Oryzias latipes: one gene and its partner. The protein of the gene in region 2 interacts with the protein of the main gene of each other region in a biochemical or structural test. Links are inferred from orthologs where the notes say so. Each region holds a gene or a part of one and is shown on either strand. Other genes may lie near its edges. The genes, in order: map1lc3a and phb2.

Evidence for each region.
Region 1: the proteins of phb2 (region 2) and map1lc3a form a complex in vitro, tested with the Homo sapiens proteins (2 studies listed by BioGRID). The link is inferred for Oryzias latipes from reciprocal best matches to the Homo sapiens genes PHB2 and MAP1LC3A.

Annotation. Positions count from the first base shown.
Region 1 is NC_019863.2:5,857,634-5,862,229, reverse strand, and holds the start of map1lc3a (microtubule-associated proteins 1A/1B light chain 3A), read right to left. Parts: upstream 3,113-4,596; 5' UTR 2,979-3,112; coding exon 2,939-2,978; intron 1-2,938. UniProt on the Homo sapiens protein: Ubiquitin-like modifier involved in formation of autophagosomal vacuoles (autophagosomes). While LC3s are involved in elongation of the phagophore membrane, the GABARAP/GATE-16 subfamily is essential for a later stage in autophagosome maturation.
Region 2 is NC_019862.2:5,433,563-5,437,970, reverse strand, and holds the start of phb2 (prohibitin-2), read right to left. Parts: upstream 2,974-4,408; 5' UTR 2,870-2,973; coding exon 2,849-2,869; intron 1,995-2,848; coding exon 1,865-1,994; intron 692-1,864; coding exon 607-691; intron 25-606; coding exon 1-24.

The DNA of each region.
Region 1 (4,596 bases), on a different chromosome or scaffold from region 2:
TACATCTCCTGCTGGACTGGATGGAAAAAAAGGAGAGAAAGAGGAAGAGGGATGTTAGAGATGGGGGACATGGGTACAAAAGAAAGGGGGGAAAATGGGGTTCAAGTAGTTGGAGGATGATAAAGACGTATGGGAGGGGGTAGAATCACAAAGCAACAAAAGTAAAAAAGGTTGAAGTGGAGGGCTGAGCTTTCCAGGAAAAATGGAAAGAGTTTTATTTGTTCATGGAGCTGAAACCTGAAAACCTGCATGCTTGGTATGCCATCAAAAGGTTGCAGTGCTCAACGAATATAACATTCAGCACCATTATGAGACTCAACATAAAAAAAGTTTCACTATTTGCAGTTAAGAAAAGAGAAGATTTACCAACTATTAGCTAGACTGAAAAAACAACCGTCTGCATTAACTGCAGCCGTGACGTCAGTGATAGAGCAGTGATAGACACCTTATTGCAGACAAGTTGGAGCAAACATCCAATCCATTTTTGGATTGTGAACTTATGGAAAATATGAAGGATGCAGAAGTGTTGTACCCCAAAAAGCAGTCTACCTTTGCCAACATGAGTCTGTCAAGGATTACGATTACACAACATCTCCGAGGAGACTTGGACGGCCAAATGAAGGAATCTAGTCATTTATTGTATTTTCAGTCACTGTTGATGAAAGCACCGACATCACAGATGAATAAAGTTGTGCATATTTATTAGAGGTGTTGAGCAGACCATCACAGCAGAGTTTCTTGAGTTGATGGACAAAACAACAGCTGATGACATAGTCAGCTCTCTAGTTACTGTGCTGGACAATGTTGGAGTGAACTGGTCACATGATGTCAGTCTGGTCACTGATGGCGCCCCATCAAAGCTCAGGAAGAAGGCAGGTGTTGCCACAAAATTCTGGCAGCAAACCAGGAAAAGACTCTTGGAAATTTCATTGTGTTTTGCACACTTGAATGACAGTAAATGTGTTGCTGCACAGGATTTAAATCCTGATATTGATGGATGGTTTCAGGAGAGAAAGGGAGGTTAACTCCAAATTGCTCACATATGTTTGCAAGTATGATTTAGTCTAATTTTTCCTTTATTTACACATTTAAATCTTAGGCAAGGTGTTTCTTTTTTTTCCGTAGCCCCTCTTGAGTTTATTATCAGGATTGCTTCAGTCTGTATAAAATTGAATCGACCATGTTTTTTTTAAGTGAAATGCATTTTGTTTTAGATCCCTTGGCCTCTGTCAATGAATCTGTAATAATAAGGGATTTGCCTCCTATGGTTAAGGCATTTTTTCCAACTAAGAAAAAAAACCACAAAGCTGTTATTTTGCCTTTATGTTACTGGTCTGGCCCACATGAGATCAGACGGCCCCCAAACCAAAATGAATTTGACACCTTGTTCCCTCTGTCCTTGTCTTTTGTATTCCTGGAGTTTTTCATTTATCATAGACATTGAGTACATGTGGATTAATTAGCTAGTGTTTCCTGGTGTCATTTAGAATGCTGCATTTCTTGTTTTTGAACCCCGGCAGAAATCAAACCTCACTTAAGGGTTCCTTTCCTGCTGCTGCAGTTTCACTTGTTCACATTAAAGATGGAGGCCAGAGGCTGAGTGCTGTCTGTGTGTGTTGTTAAAGAACGACAGAGTGCTGGAATGATGAGAGCAGCTTCTTCCATTACAATGACACGAGCACAAAAATGATTCCTAGAAAACAAATGTTTCAACCTTAACAAGTAACATGGATCTGGTTCTGCAGGGGGTTCTGCTCTTTCATTGAGATGGAGGTGTCCTCTAATGTTGTTATTGCTCAGTAGCTACAGCTGACTGTGGTTGCCAATTTGACTAAATTTGGATTTTGGTTCATGTTAGGCGATCCAATTGGATCTGATCCACTGACTTAAAGTGGATCCAGGACACCTTTAGCCAAAACGTCCACCAGTGTGACTCAGAGAGAAATACCTGCAGGTTCTGAACAGTGTAGGGGAAGTTTTCCAGATTCCTTGTGTTTCTTCAAGATAATCAAGTGTAAATTAAATATGTGTACAAACAAACAAGTAAACAAGAATGGATGTCCAATCTATTCACATTTTAGTTTCCTAAAGTTCAGTCCACTGTTGTTTTTCCACATCAAAATGATCCAAAGGGAACATTTTAAAAACATTCTACCACACTGTATGGTGACATGACTTTGTCTATATATGTTTATATTCAAAGTATTTTCTACACATAGGACTGTAATGATGGACTCATCAGTTTTTGCTGATGACATCACATGTATGTTGTGTTGTCTGCTGTGATGCACTTGGTCACTTTAAACCTTATAGTCAAATAAATCTACTGTACTTCAATCCAAATGGTAACGATATCAATTTATCTCATTTTGAATGTTTTCTATTTAAACATCTTGAGAATTGATCTTTTAATAATCCTCTACAGCAGGAACACGTGATAAGCAGCTTCTTGGTTGAAATGGCTGCCCCCGTTGGGCCTCAGCTAAAGTAATCTATTACTTTTAGATCGTTTCCTTGTTAGAGTACAGTAGTCCTGAGGTGGTCAGTGACCTTCTGCTGCCCCCCCACCACAGTACCGTTCCCCTGACCCCCAACAGAGAAGCACCGCCTGAACCTCCACGACCTGCGAGACCTCTGGAAGAACAGAAGGAGCTTCCGGTGTCACATGGCAGCATCCACGGTAAACGGGTCAAGCACTGACGGAACCGAGGTCCGGCTCGCAGTTTTTAATCTGCTATCGGAGGTCTGGCAGAACGGGAACAGGCCCAGAGTGACAAGAACCCAGCTGACCCACGAAAACCTGCAGAGGTCTCGCGCCGGTCCTGCCGACAGCGACGGAACCGGGCCGGCCATCCGCGGACACGGCGGCCCTGGCCTGCCCTGAGAAAGTCCGGTGGCGGACGGGCTGGCGGGGCCCACAGCGGCCGGTTCTTCTTACCGAAAGTCCTCCGCTGCTTGAAAGGCCTGTCGGACGGCATCTTTGTCGCCGTGGTGTCAGGTCCAGCCCGGTTAAGTCAGACGCTGCAAATCGGTTCGGCGCTCTTCTCTACAGGTCTTCTCAGCGGCGGCTCCGTCCGGGCAAACAAAGCCTCTGAACACAGACGGTGACGTCAGCAGCTACGTTTAAAGGGGACGTCCCCCATTTGCTCGGAACCAAACTGGTCCAGGTGTTGGAACCACTTCACTCCTTCATTCCATCAGCCAGACTTTGGGCTTCCTAACTGGACTGAGAAGCTGCCGTTCTCACCCGAACCAAACAGAAAACCCGATCTGCATGGAGCAAAAACGCTATAGGGGCAGGTCCCTCTGCGGTCCCTCTGCGGTCCCTCTGGGGGCCCTCTGGGGCCCCTCTGGGGCCCTCTGACCATCACAAGACTCCAAATGAAGATTCCAGGCTCAGACATCAAATGCTGGATTGCTGTCTCTTCTCCACAGATCATTTCTGTTTTGGAACAGTAGAATCTCTAGCTCACCCTGGAAAAAATGTGGATATTACATTATAAATATTTTTAAACTACTTAGATAAGATGCATTTCTTTTAAATGTTTATAGCACTATCCACTGCACATGGTGGCACAGTGGTCAGCACTCTTGCCTGACAGCAAGAAGGCCCCTGGTTCAAGTCCTGAAACAGAACATCAATGGGGACGTCTCTGCGTGGAGTTTGCATGTGTACCACTATGGAAGTGTTTCTGTAGCATAATTAAAAATAAAAGTCAATACCAGAAAAGCTTTTTCATTTTGAAAATGCAGCTGCATTTGTTGACTCAAAATTAAAATAAGCAATCCTCCAAAATGTTCTTTCTTTTCTTTTTTGCCCCGCCTCCCTCCTGCAAATGCTAACTAGAATTGAATTGGTCAGTTCAAGAGGGGCCCAAGTCCACAATTTTTCAAAATAGAGATTTTATTTTTTCTATGGTCTTCAAGGGAAAAGCTATCTGATTATGTGCAAAAAAAAGTCCCAAGTCCGTTGTTATGTATTGACTATGCTTGACATTTAAAATGCATTAAGTGCATTTTCCTGGACTTGGGCCTCTCTTGGATGGGTTTAGCTTTATCCCATAGATGGCAGCACTAGTTATCCAATATGGCAGCACCCCTGTTTAATTCAAGAAGGGTCCAAGTCCAGAGACTTTAGTTTGCTAGTCCTCTAAAATGATAAAAGTGAGGTGCTTCATATTATAGCATTTGTAAGCTATGAACTTGTGCTAAATCTGGGTAAAGTATTCATCATTTGGTGTAGCCTCCCTATAAGCTATGCAATTAAAATCATTTCCTGGAAAAACAAACCTCTTGGACTTGGGCCCCTTTTGAACTAACGGATTCAATTTAATATTGCGACACTTTTCGCACGGTGGATGTGAAAACGAAAATGCAATCCTCTCCTTGCATTTTTGCTTTAATTATGTCACAGATGTTAAAGTAGAAATGAAAAAGCATTTTGAAAGATTGATGTTTCATTTTAATTTTGAGTTATTTGATGCAGTTACATTGTGAAAATGAAAAAGCATTTCTGTTAGTCCATTTTAATTGTCAAATTAGACATTTCTAAATGAATTTTGCATCACATTTACCAGAGAACATTTTGTAAAGGAA
Region 2 (4,408 bases):
ATGGGGTACTGGATCCATGGAATCCTGCACAGACACACAAACCAGACGTTGCCTTGTAGCAGATGTTCCAGTTCGTCTGTGTCCGTCTCTTTCCTGTCCTCTCAAACTACATCTGCCCGAGGCACACGGTCATCCTTACACAGTCTGTTTCTGCTTTTTTTCTTTCCTAATTTTCTATTTAGAAAATGTTCCTTTCCACTGTTACCGTTTGCTCGCTCGGTTCAGGCACCAAAACTCAATGCAATCTGTTGGTCATTTCAGCAGCTTTCATTGAAATACAGGTAAAATAATCTGGACTAAATTAGATTAAACAATTATAATTTATAAAGCTCTGTCTGATGTTTTTGAGCAGTGTTTTGAGACATTCCAAGTTATGAACTGGTGCTTTCTGACATACTGACACAAACGCAGAAGAAGTCAACCAACTTCAGAGAACCGATTTAAAACAGAAGTCAGTCCACATGGAAGCAAGTCTGCCTGCCAGTCAGACCCGAGGGAATAGCTGGGCATGATTACATGCTATAATTTACTTCTTAAAGTCCCCACAGTGAACTAGAGACCACAGACCACACCCCTTTCTGTCACAACCGACTCAGTGAAACTTACCTGAAATGAAGCCCCTCTGACAGGATTGTGTCCATCTGCATCCCTCCAATCCTGTTGAAAACGATGGCTCTGTGACCGCCTTCAACTGCACACACACAAAACAAGGTTATTCAATGTGACTGGAACAAAAAAATGGGCAAATTCGAAGCATATAATACAAAACAACAACAGTAAACTTAAACAGCAAAATGATGAATTACAATTTATCACTTGAAAACCAGATAAAAAGACGAAGGCTGATCAAAGACATTCAGTAGTCATACACTGATCTAAAAACAAGTTTCTTTTTATCTAAACTTGAACAGGTCAGAGATGTACTTTGGTGCTCAGCCATGGAGAGAATTTAACACAATCAGATCTGTTCTAATGTTTGTTCTCTGAGCAACAGGAAGTAGATGCCTAAGACCAAGTGAAGTGGTCGTCCTTCCTGGTTTTGGTCAGGACTTGAGCAGCAGCGTTCTGGATGAACAGCAGCTGCTTTACATCACCTTTACTAAGGCTACGTTTACACTGCAAGGCTTAATGCTCAATTACGATTTTTTGAAAAAGTTTGATTTTTTTGCAAGGCCGTTCACATTTCCAATTAAATGTGAATTTCTGTGACTCTGGAGAATCTGAGGGTCTGAACGGGGTAGTGAACCCCGAAGGAGGATCCGCCTTCAGTCCCCCGCGCTTCTGACCACGGTCGGAAAGGAAAAAAAGTAATAGCGGGAAAGATTTAAATTATATTTCAAATGACCCTCGTCTAAAAAGGAGGCAAACATCTAACATAAAAGCACCATCCGATTGTCAACAACGTGAAGGGTTGTATCTGATTGGTCAAATGAATAAAGGGATTTTTTCAATTTGTAAAATACTTCAAGCTGCCATAAGATTGTTGTAGCACATTTAAGGCTTACAATTTATTGCGATTTTCGCAGACCTTTGTGATATGGATGTTGCACAGCTTGAAATTGCTTGCACTGGTTGTTTGTGAAGGACATGGACAAAAAGGTGAGACGCTGCTCATTCTAAGACCTTCAGTAGTCCAAACAGGTGTTTACCCAAAGACACTTTTGAATAAGTTCCTCCTTGTCTAAGGTCATCACAGCGTTAAATCTTGCAGATGCACAAATTCACAAACTACCTTTATTTGTAGATCTTCCTGATCTGGTCCTGCTTTGTCCACTTTTAATTGTTTTTGTTTATCCTCTTACACTTTACCCCCTGATACACATGATCACAGTTGCTACAGCAGAAACCAGATTCCTGGCCTCACCTGTGTATGTAGCTTCATAGACGCCATACGCCAAAGCGCCGGCTCCCAGCAGCAGCTTAAGTCCAAGCCCCGCCCCCCGACCGCCAGACGACATCCGGCCTGACAGATCTCTCAGGTGCTGGAAGAAGCGCTGTGGTCGGATCCAAAGAACAGCAGGGATGGATGGGAAAAAAGACATGATTAGAATGAACTCAACTAGTCTAAACTAGTAACAAAACCAGTCTAATGCAAACCACGGATTGGTCAAACTATAAAAAAGGCCATATGAACTGCTTTAGGGTCAAGTCTGGTTTATTCTAAACTAAATAGGTTTATTTTAAAGTATACCAGTGTAAAATAAACTAGTCTGAACTAAACCAGTCTATGTAAACTAACCTGTCTGGAAGAAACCAGACTAACCTTAACCAGTTTGAGCTAAACCTGTCATAACTAAACTCATCTGAATAAAATTGGGACAAAAACTACAAATTCCTTAACCAATCCAAACTAACCAGCTCTGTGAACTACAGTGGATGAGTGACCACTCTGTACTAGCTAGGAGGTTGCGGGTTCTAATCCCTAGCCGGGTCACAGTAAGATGCCTTCCGGACTAACAATGGAGAGCAGGAGCTGTAGTGAGCTGTGCCTGCCTGACTGACTGCAGCTCCCATCTCTCCCTCGTGAGAAGATGGGTCAGAACCGTAGAACGCGCTTCCCGAACTCACTGACGGAACTGCAACTTATACATTTGACTACAGCTAAATAAACTATCAGTCTGAACTAAGACTGTAGATTCCAACTAGACTAAACTACACTTCTTTACATGAACGGCACACATTACCATAACCCGTGCCTCCGCAAAGGTAAAGTAGTCACGTGGGCTGCAAAACACCGGCGCGAGGTTCTTGCGCAGTTAGCAACTACCCTGTCAGTTGCTTTGACCTAAGCGGATACACAGCGCTATCTGACCGGAACCTTCTTTCTTTTACGGTCCAGAACACTTACGTTCGGCTCCCTGCTCGACATGTTGTTCAACGGTACCCAAGGTCAGCTCGCTGCGCACGCAGTTTAGCGCAAGGCATGCTGGGACATGACGTTGCAGTGAAGTAGGTGGATCCCAATGAGTTATATGGGATCCGGTGTTGCTGCCTCCTGTGAGTAAGAAACGGTACTGCAGCTGGTCCAACTGTGTTTTCTTCTGAAGACCAACTCCAATGAAAATTGTGGGGTTTTTTTTATGTTTTTGACGTGTTTTTGTTGCGTTTTTCTCAGGATATAAAGAAATGTAAGCTAATAATTGCATTTCTGAGTATTTCTAATTAAATCTTTGTGAATCAGGAGCAGACGGAAAAATGCTGTTTGAAAAAGCTTGTGTGATGTTCGTGTTCCTAAGGCAAGCCACAAGCTCTCTGCTCTGGTTCATTCTGATGCATTCAGAGAACCATCCTCGTATAAAGAAGGTTGGGGTCATTGGGAGACTGTTAGCTAGTGGGAGAGAGTGTAAACAGAGGGATGTTGGGAAGTGTGGGCAGACTTACTCTGCACCAACTGTGCTGCCCACATATCAGAGGTGAATTTCTAATGAACTCCTGGCGCTCTGCAGAAACTATGTCCTAAAAAATGAAACAGGTTTTTTGTTTTGGATAAATGGCATAATAATAATTCAAAGACCAATGGGAACGCTTTGAAAATGGACCAAAAGATGGTCGGAGTGAAGTCTTGGGTTCAGTTCCAAAAAATCTGTTATGAACTTCCATTCTATACAGACTTCACATTTCTAAATCACTTCGAAACCTGCAAGTTTTTGTTTGTCTGTGCGGCTGTTTCACTATGAGAGACAGACAGCTTGGACCACTGACTGCAAGAGAACTGGACCAAGCATGCGTGATGTCACCCATAGAAAATGATCTGCAAATCAATTTAGTCGCCATTTTTCAACAGAATAGCCATCGCCAGACGTCCTCAGTAAACCGTGATAAGTCTGAGTCCGACTAAGTCAACATTTTCATGGCAACCTGTCTCTCCAATGAGGAGTGAGCATGTTCGAAGGACACACCTCCTTTCATTGAGCACAGGCTCAGGAAAATTAAAAAAAAAAATGTGACATGTTCAACGCAAGGCCACCTGCTTTCATTGAGGCATCTGATTGGCTAGTTTATAACTGGAATAATATGAACTACAGACAAAATATGAAAACAAAATTAGGATTAGCAAGAACATGTCAAGAAAAAGGGAACAGCGCAAGAATGGTTATTGTGACATTGAAGTTTGAGACTTTGAGTTCTTGGATCCAGCCGGCACCTCCTAGTTGGAACGGGGGGGGGGGGGGGGGGTCAGTCCAGTTCTGTTATACAGTCAATGATGACGAAACTCATTTCAGCTCCTGCATCTGTAACGAGCTGCAGTCACAGTCCATCAACTGTCACATCAGGTCGGTTTTATTCAGTTTCAACTGTGATGTTCAGATGTGCTGCGTTTGTATGTTTATTAAAAAGAGGACACTGTGTTATTACAACATTGTTAAACTTTAATTCACAACTCTTGTCATAGTAAAACACAAATCTA